Regions from separate parts of the Mus musculus genome. Here region 2 is reported to be linked to region 1. The links are microRNA targets in miRTarBase. Many come from high-throughput screens and were not tested one by one. Region 1 holds a microRNA gene; the other region holds the end of a gene's coding sequence.

Region 1 (4,386 bases):
TCCGGGACAGGTGACAACATTCGCCTTACATCAAGGCCCCGCCCCGCCCCGCCCCGCCCAAGACCCCACCCCACCACAAGGCCCCGCCCCATCACAAGGCCCCGCCCCATCATAAGGCCCGCCCAGTCACAAGGCTCTTCTGCGTCTCCCCAGCGGCAGGCGCAGGCCCAAGCAATCCGGCCGCCCAGCGGGTGCAGGTGCGGACGCACCGGCCATCACCGCGCGCGGCTGCGCAGCGGGCACCGTAAGCACCGGTCTCTGGCTCCCGGGAGCGGTGAGTCCCCCCCGACCAATCCCAAGAGTGTACCGCCGCCGTAGCCCCCCTGTCAGTCGGCCGTCCCTTCCCTGTGTTACTGAGCGCGACCGCCTCGGGTCAGTTGGTTCGGTCAGGACTCGCGGCCCGCTCACCCAGACTGGTGGCATCATTGGGGGTGGGGAGCTCTGGCGGCCCTGAGCAAGAGGGAGAGGGCGGCGCTCTGTAGCGGCCCAGACCCGAAGCCCAGCGACCCCCAACCCGACAAGACGACCAATCCACCCTCGGGGCGCATTCTGTGGCCACCGCCCCCTCCTCCGTCGTCCCCATCCCTGCTTTGTTCCCTTGAACGCCCTCTGGTCGCTTCCATCCCCCACACACCCCCGCACCCCTCTGTTCCTGGCGTACCCTACTAGCAGACACCTTAGCAGCCAATACAGGCCTGCATTCAGTACCCGGAGCTAGGGACATTCAGCCCTGTGCTTAAGAGGAGGGTCAGGGTTCCCGCTGGTCACAGATGGCCTGGGGATTTCCTCGGATAGAAATAGCCGCTAGCGCTGGCCCCTTCAAGCTGCTTAATAGGAGGGATAGGACGGGGAGAGCCAGGGCACACCCCCACACCTCTTTAGCCACTGCGCTGTGCCTCTAGACTCTTCGTTGCTGAGCTCTGACCCGAAAGACCCGCAGCGGTGAGAAGGCATCTCCCAAGCTCCAAGCTGAGGCTGACAGCCATCACTCTTCCTCCCATCCCCCACCCCAGGTCGAGCTAGAGGAGCCCCTTCCAAGGGGTCCACATCGGTCTCCCGTGCCCCACCCAACGCCTCCTTGTTCTGTGACTCCCTACAGCCCTGTACAAAGGTCATGGCCAGTTGTTTTTGTTGTTGTTGTTGTTTTCTTCCTTGGTCCGCAGCAGGTATGGCTGTCACTGGTTTCAGTCTCTCAGAGCTAACTGTTCTCTCTTTCTCCTCTAGGGGCAGCCACAGAACCCGAGGCCATGTCCCATGAAAAGAGTTTCTTGGTGTCTGGGGACAGTTATCCTCCCCAAAACATTGTGGGGCCCCAAGCCCCTATGCCTCCCTATGTTCAGGCTCCCTACCCTGGGGCCCCATACCCACAGGCCCCTTTCCAGCCCTCTCCCTATGGTCAGCCAGGATATCCCCATGGTCCCAGCCCCTATCCACAGGGTGGTTACCCTCAAGGGCCCTACCCTCAAGGAGGCTACCCACAGGGGCCATACCCACAGAGCCCCTTCCCGCCCAACCCCTATGGACAGCCACCACCCTTCCAGGACCCTGGCTGTAAGTGTAGGGAAGGGTAAGGGGCAGGGGCAGGGATTCAAGTGCCCTCAGGGGACACTGACCCAGCCTCTATGTCCCCAGCACCTCAGCATGGGAACTACCAGGAGGAAGGGCCTCCATCCTACTATGACAACCAGGACTTCCCTGCTGTCAACTGGGACAAGAACATTCGCCAGGCCTTTATCAGAAAGGTTGGGCCTGGCATATGTGTGGTGTGGGAGGAGCCACAAGGAGGCCGCCAAGGCGGGGCTCTGATTGGCTCCTTCCCCAGGTGTTCCTGGTGCTGACCCTGCAGCTGTCGGTGACCCTGTCCACTGTGGCCATTTTCACTTTTGTTGGGGAGGTGAAGGGCTTTGTCCGGGAGAATGTCTGGACCTACTATGTCTCCTACGCCATCTTCTTCATCTCCCTCATTGTTCTCAGCTGTTGTGGGGACTTCCGGCGAAAGCATCCCTGGAACCTTGTTGCTCTGGTAACTCTCAATCCCTGAGCCCAGTTCACCTAGGCCTGTGGGACAGGACAGGGAGGTTGGACAGGGTTGGACCAAGAGCAGCTCCCCACACCCAAGGCCCCCCCTGTGATCCTCTTCCGCAGTCGATCCTGACCGTCAGCTTGTCCTACATGGTGGGCATGATAGCCAGCTTTTACAACACGGAGGCAGTCATCATGGCCGTGGGCATCACCACAGCTGTCTGCTTCACGGTGGTCATCTTCTCCATGCAGGTGAGGGGGACCTAAGACAGGACGGTTGCCCCAGAGCCCTCAACACCCACAGTCTCACCTCTCTCCTTCCCTCCCAGACCCGCTATGACTTCACCTCGTGCATGGGCGTGCTCCTGGTGAGTGTTGTGGTGCTCTTCATCTTCGCCATCCTCTGCATCTTCATCCGGAACCGCATCCTGGAGATTGTATACGCCTCGCTGGGCGCTCTGCTCTTCACCTGCGTGAGTGAGGGTGTTGGGAAGGCCTTTCCTGGGATGCCGGCCGGGATGAGTGAATAAGCTGTCGAATACCGACCAACTGTGTCTTTACCCGCTAGTTCCTGGCAGTGGACACCCAGCTACTCCTGGGGAACAAGCAGCTGTCCCTGAGCCCAGAAGAATATGTGTTTGCGGCCCTGAACCTGTACACGGACATCATCAACATCTTCCTATATATTCTCACCATCATTGGCCGTGCCAAGGAGTAGAACAAGCCCCAGCTCAGGTGGCATGGTTGGCTCAGACCCATGCCCCTGGCATGACAATGCCATCTGTGCTTCCCTCTCTCTGGTCCCCAGGCCTGGCCTGGTGCAGAGGGAGTCCCTCTCGCCCTCTTGTATGTACACTGCAAATACTTAACGTCTGGACCCTCTATGGCCACAGCATGGCCCCCTTTATCCCTTTTGCCCTTGCCAAGGGGCGACAGGGCTGCATTTCTGTGCCACCTTCTGTCCACTCACTGTTGCATGAGCCCTGTCTGCCAGCCCCATCCCAGGGTCAGGGACCAACACCAGGTCTCAGGGGAGAAGGATCATACCAAGAGGTGAGGGTGCACGTCTTCCCTTCTGTCCCGGCTCCCCTGGCATAGAGTACCCGTGTCCCCTCCCCACCCTGCCTTCTGAGGGGCACGCAGGGCGGGGTCTCATTCTTGCGCTGGGCCCCAAGAGCAGAGAGGATGTCATGTTTCAAGGGAGGAGGCTCTCTCGTGCTGCCATTGTTAAAATGCCAATAAAAGGGTACCTTCTGCTTTCTGCTTCTCCTTGTCTCTCTTCACTGCCACTTCCTCCAGGAGGCATGGAGGGGCTTCAGCACCCCCTGCCCTGGCTGATGGTTAGTTCTGGACAGGCACTGACGACAGCGGTTAATGACAGTTAGCTAATCCAGTGTGTGCGCTGCTTCTTTTCTTGCTGTCTTTCTGGCTGCATTTTAAGGTGTGCACCGAGATCTGAACTGATGAACAGGACTCCTGAGGCACGGGCATAGTGCCAGGTCACACAGTGTGGAGTAGACTGTGTATATCTCTACGCTCTGAGAGTAGCACAGTGCAGCAGTGGGCTCTCTATAAGGTCTCTATGTCTCTGACCAGGACCAGCAGCATGTAGGTCATTGGCACAACCCTGAAAGAGCCGAACAGAGATGGCTCTACCAGGCAGGCTCCTTGGCCTCTAACTCCCTGGCATTGCCATTTGGTGCCAGTTCCTCAGGCCTGCCTGTTCCCCCTCCTGCCTTTGCTCCGGCCACATCATCTCTGGAGCCTTCATTTATCCATCCAAGTCCCTGCACAAGTGGAGTGAGTCCTTCTGGATCTCAACACAGTTCAGTCCCCTAACCTGAAACCACAAGGTCAGAGTGGCCTTGATTCTTACAGGTCTCTTCCCTAGGACTCTGCATCTTTGGGCTGTTGCTTCCTGGCAGTATATGGGTGTATTTAATTTAATTAACTAGCATCAGTTCCTCGTGTGTACCACAAAGCCACCCAGTGACCACAGGTACCGAGCCACAAGCGTCCTCTCCCAAACCTGGGGTTTCTGCGTTATCTCCCCAGGCCAGATGCAGTCACCCCCTCCTCCATTCTGTCCCATTCCTTCCCCAGCCAGTCTTCGATTCATCAAGACTCTCGGTCTACAAACCAGACTGTTAGATGTGAGCCGTGGATCCCATGACCCACCTACCTAAGACCCATCTACCTGGTACCCTCAGGATGAAGCCATATTCCTCACCCTGGCATCCAGGCTCTGCCAACTCCCCTGATGCCTTCCTATTCTCATCCCTAGCCCTGACCTCAGACAAACTGAACCAAGAGATTTCTCCTAGACGGTCTATTCTTGTAGCCCTTCTGCTGGAGGGGGAAAGA
Region 2 (4,386 bases), not on the chromosome of region 1:
ATTCAATCTCAATCTTACAGTCAGGATTTTACCCTGGCTGAAACTACAGAGCAAGCTCCAGTTCAGTCTTCCCCATCCCTTTCTTCCACTCAGACCCTGGGTTTCTTCCCTTCCTTTTTCTCTTCTTCTTTCTTTTATTCCATTCCTTTTTCTTTGAAACTAAAGTCTCCTTTCAATGGAGTGACCAGTTCAGGGTGATTGAGGCTGAGCAAGGCCATGCAGGAAGCTAAGGGAAGTCTGTATAAGCAGGAGATGAGACAGTGCAATGCGAAAGGAGATCCATGATGCTACTTCTCCTCAGCATCCCTCCCCAAATCTCTCTCCTCCACCCTAATGTTCCTCCCCTCCTCCCCCAAAATCTTTCCTCCTCCACCCTCCTCCTTCCCAACCTGCCTTCTCTCACTACCTTTGCTGGTGGGCTTTCAAAGCTATGTCTTGTTCAGCCCGTGGGAGGTACAGGGAGCGTCTAGTCGGCTTTCTAGATTCTCAAAGAGCAACGTCCCACAGTGTCTGTCGCATGGCACACACAGAAAGCTGTGTGCTCCATCCCCATACCCTAACAAACACATCCTTGGATAATGGTTGAACTTGTTCTGCAGAATTCAGTGACGGAGGAACAAAAGCAGCCTGGGAAGCTTTGTGAAAACACACAGCTTCCCCATGCACGCAGGCATCTGTTCCCTTCACAATCAACACTGAACTGGTCGCTCAGAGCTGTAGAAACTTCAGAAAAAATCGGGGTGGGGAGCTGGAAGCCCCTCAGTACCAGTTTCCTGGGCAGGCGATTTTTTTAAAAAATCAGAACAGTGAGTGCTTTTGTTGTTGTTGTTGTTACTTTTTAATCCAGCAGTAGTAACAAGGTGATTTGGAATCTGCTCCTGACTTGAGATAGTAGTTTTATTTATTTATTTAGCCTTTTTTTTTTATCAGATCAATATCTTACTTTGCCTATTTTATTCTTAGATTTACTGACTGTTCTCAGGGAAGCAAATTCAAAGGGAAGAAATAAGCAGATTGGTGTGTATTTCAAAGCCCTGGCTGAGGTTTGACAGAAAGAATCCTTGGAAGTTCAGAGGACTAGAGTTTCCTAGGCCCTCCCTCTGACAGATGGGTTATGTTCAGAGGGTCTGTCTTTGGGAGCAGCTGAGTTATGTACTGTCAAGGGATACTTGGGCTAACCTTGGGCTCATAGACATGTCTGCTTGCCCTGGGTCCTTAATTACTCAGCTATTTACCACACACCCTAAGCAGGAAGCAGGGACCCTGTTCTTATTTCCCAGTAGTTTCCTAGCAAATTGGGCTCAGAGTGGGAAGAGGTACTTGTAAAATGCAAATATATATACATACATATATACATACATATATACATACATATATATATATACACATACATATATATATATGCTTATTATGTATGTATGGGGAGGGATATGCATGTAAGTGCAGGTGCTGAGAGATCCCCCACCCCAGCATCTGGAGTGACAGGCCATTGTGAGCCACCTGATGTGTGCTGGGAACAGAACTTACATCTTAACTGCTGAGCTATCTCTTCAGTGCTACCAAATTCTTGCTTTAAATAACATCAGCCCTCTCATGGGAACATTTGCTATGATGCTCAGCTTCTCATAAAAAGGAGTAAGTAACATCCTAAAGGTTCCCCAGGCCTGTTTCTTTGCTTTATCAATAAAGAGTCAGAGTCTTGTGAATTTTAGGTGCTTGTCAGACTATAGATTCGATGTGATAGTGGGAGCCAGAATGTAAGCTCCGGGTATGCAAATGAGTGTCCAGTCAGCTAATGCCCCATTCTCAGTGGGGGCTGAGCAGCACTGCTTCTGTGGGGCCTCATCATTCCTGGCCAGTCACACTGCAGCTCAGTGCTACAAAAGCGGAGGGTGTGCCCCTGTCTGTACATGGCATGAGTTTTTGAGATTTTGGTGTTTGGGGACAATTTGTTTTCCTAAGTTAAGGTGGAAGGGGCTTCCAAAAGTGTTTGAAAAGAAGCAGAGATGCTGATATAGATGGAGGTTGTATACCTTTTGGGACATACATTTATATATCGTCTACTTTCTACACACACACACACACACACACACACACACACACACACACACACACTGTACTGTGATTTCATTTGTCATACTTTAGAAGTAGCCGTGTTTATGTAAGCCAGAATGTAATGGGCATTCATATGGATGTCTGGATACTCAGTGCCTCACGCACAGGGGCAGGGCTTAGTAGTACCTCTTCTCCATGACTACCTGTCCCTGATTTTACTTCTCCTGAAACTGGATGCAAAATCAGCATCACAAAATGTATTTGTTTAGGCAAAATGAAACAACTTCCATTTGACTTCACAATATCACTGTGTCTTCTCACATAGTTCAGTAGTCGTTTATAAAAACAGCTACCGTTTCCCTCTACTATGGCTATACCTTATGGGCTCATCTAGAAACAAAAAGACAAAACCAGGGTTATGGCCAACGTGAGATATTTTCTGGATACACGAGCAACAATGAAAACATTTTGAAAATTAACAGGCAGCCGTAAGTATAAATACACTGTCGAAAGCATTTAACGCTTTTTAACATAGCCAAGTCCCCTGAGCTTGAAGCAGCATTAAATTCTCCTTTGCCAGTGGCAAAAAGAAGCCGACAAGCACAGAGCTGAAAGATTGGTACCGTTTCTCGGCCAGTAAGCAACAGAACCAAGGGGCTTAATATTTTATGGGTTTTTATTTATTTATTTTTGTTCTCATGCTGTTTCTCTCCCCGTCTCCTTTTCTCTCCTGTTCTTGCCTGCCAGGACTGATTGTGGTGACGTTGGCCGTGTGTTGGATGCCCAATCAGATCCGACGGATCATGGCTGCAGCAAAACCCAAACATGACTGGACCAGAACGTACTTCAGGGCATACATGATCCTCCTGCCCTTCTCTGATACCTTCTTCTACCTCAGCTCTGTGGTCAACCCTCTCCTCTACAACGTGTCCTCTCAGCAGTTCCGGAAGGTGTTCTGGCAGGTGCTCTGCTGCCGCCTGACTCTGCAGCATGCCAACCAAGAGAAACGCCAGCGTGCCCGCTTCATCTCCACCAAGGACAGCACCAGCTCAGCCCGCAGCCCCCTCATCTTCCTAGCCTCCCGGCGCAGTAACTCTTCCTCCAGGAGAACTAACAAGGTTTTCTTAAGCACTTTTCAGACTGAGGCCAAGCCTGGAGAGGCTAAGCCCCAGCCCTTGAGTCCTGAGTCACCACAGACTGGCTCAGAGACCAAACCAGCTGGGTCCACCCCAGAAAATAGTTTACAGGAGCAGGAAGTATGAATGGCAAGTTCAGAAGCCTTGAGCCGAAACTGGCTCTCCCCTCCCGCAAAAGCAAAGTTACCTTCACGCAGCAGCAGTCTCTGAATAGACTGTGACTCCTACTGGGACAGAATGGAAGCTCAAGGCTTTGGGAAAGGCAGATGCGTATCTCAATGACTTCTAAGGGCTGGTTCTTCCAGGCTAGCCTTGGCGGTGGTTAACCAGATTGGGATGGGAGGGTCTGGACTTTCTGCTCCATGCTTTTTTCTTCAACTACACACAGAAATTCAGAATGAATTGGTTCAGAGCTTACAAAAGTATTTGTGCACGGCAATCTTGCGTTACTTGAAAGGAGGGAACAAAAAGACTCCCTTGTCTACCCAGAATAAAAGGACACCCAGAAGAGACTCGGGAAGGTGAGAGACGAAGGGCCAGACAGGTGAGGCAGCAGGGGTTGGCATCTCCTTTAGCTTCAGCAGTGTGCCAAGCAGAGGGCTAAGTGGAAGAACAGGAGAGTGGTGAGAAGCCCTGGCCTGATGGCCGAGGCAGAGCTGCCTCTCTTCTTGGGCCTCGGCCCATTGCAAAGAGGGGTGTTGCAGCAGCTGATGCACACGGAGTTCAGTTTCCCAGGGGAACAGAAGGACTGGTACCCAGCTGAAGCAATGAGACAGGCTGCTGACGATGCACACGACTTCCGGTACATGATCCCTATAACACAGGCCCAGAGAAGTGGGGTTAGCATATGTGATCTGCAGTCCAGCTATCTCTTTGTGCCCAAATCTGAGTGCATAACCTTTCCTTAACTCCTCCCACAGAAAGGGCTCTTATCTCCTGATCTGGGAGATGGTTCAGGGGATAAGAATTCTCAGACTTATTGGAGTCTGGGAGTTCTTTTGGGTGGGCATGGAGGTCACCAAACACACAGAACTTATGGTGAATGTTGTTCCAACAGAGATTTTAGTTGCTGGTGTCCATGAATAAAGAGCTATTAAAATCAAAGTCTCCCCTCACCACTCTGTGTGTGCAATGCATGTGTATATGTTCATACATGCAATGTATGTATATATGTTCATGTATGCAATGTATGTGT

What was found. The annotated mature microRNA mmu-miR-6953-5p reads AAGGGGCAGGGGCAGGGAUUCAAGUG and lies in region 1 at 1,570-1,595, shown strand. An mRNA with a match to its seed (bases 2 to 7 or 8) in the 3' UTR can be bound and repressed. Matches are read on the target gene's strand: a 7mer-m8 pairs with bases 2 to 8, a 7mer-A1 pairs with bases 2 to 7 and ends in A, and an 8mer does both.
Region 2: the mRNA of Lypd1 is a reported target of mmu-miR-6953-5p. Seed matches in the 3' UTR shown: 7mer-m8 at 2,221-2,227.

The regions. Positions count from the first base shown.
Region 1 is chr15:76,246,627-76,251,012 of GRCm38, forward strand. It overlaps Mir6953 (microRNA 6953), which reads left to right and starts at 1,565; the gene lies at 1,565-1,632. It overlaps Grina (glutamate receptor, ionotropic, N-methyl D-aspartate-associated protein 1 (glutamate binding)), which reads left to right and starts at 181. Exons shown (of 7, transcript NM_023168.3): 1 at 181-274; 2 at 1,225-1,551; 3 at 1,633-1,742; 4 at 1,823-2,023; 5 at 2,146-2,274; 6 at 2,352-2,495; 7 at 2,591-3,278. The coding sequence starts at 1,248. The coding sequence ends at 2,740.
Region 2 is chr1:125,869,568-125,873,953 of GRCm38, forward strand. Lypd1 (Ly6/Plaur domain containing 1) reads right to left here. Exons shown (of 3, transcript NM_145100.4): 3 at 1-4,004. The coding sequence ends at 3,769. Gpr39 (G protein-coupled receptor 39) reads left to right here. Exons shown (of 2, transcript NM_027677.2): 2 at 2,803-4,295. The coding sequence ends at 3,317. Among named protein-coding and RNA genes, the nearest start is that of Gm41943, 30 kb to the left of the region's middle.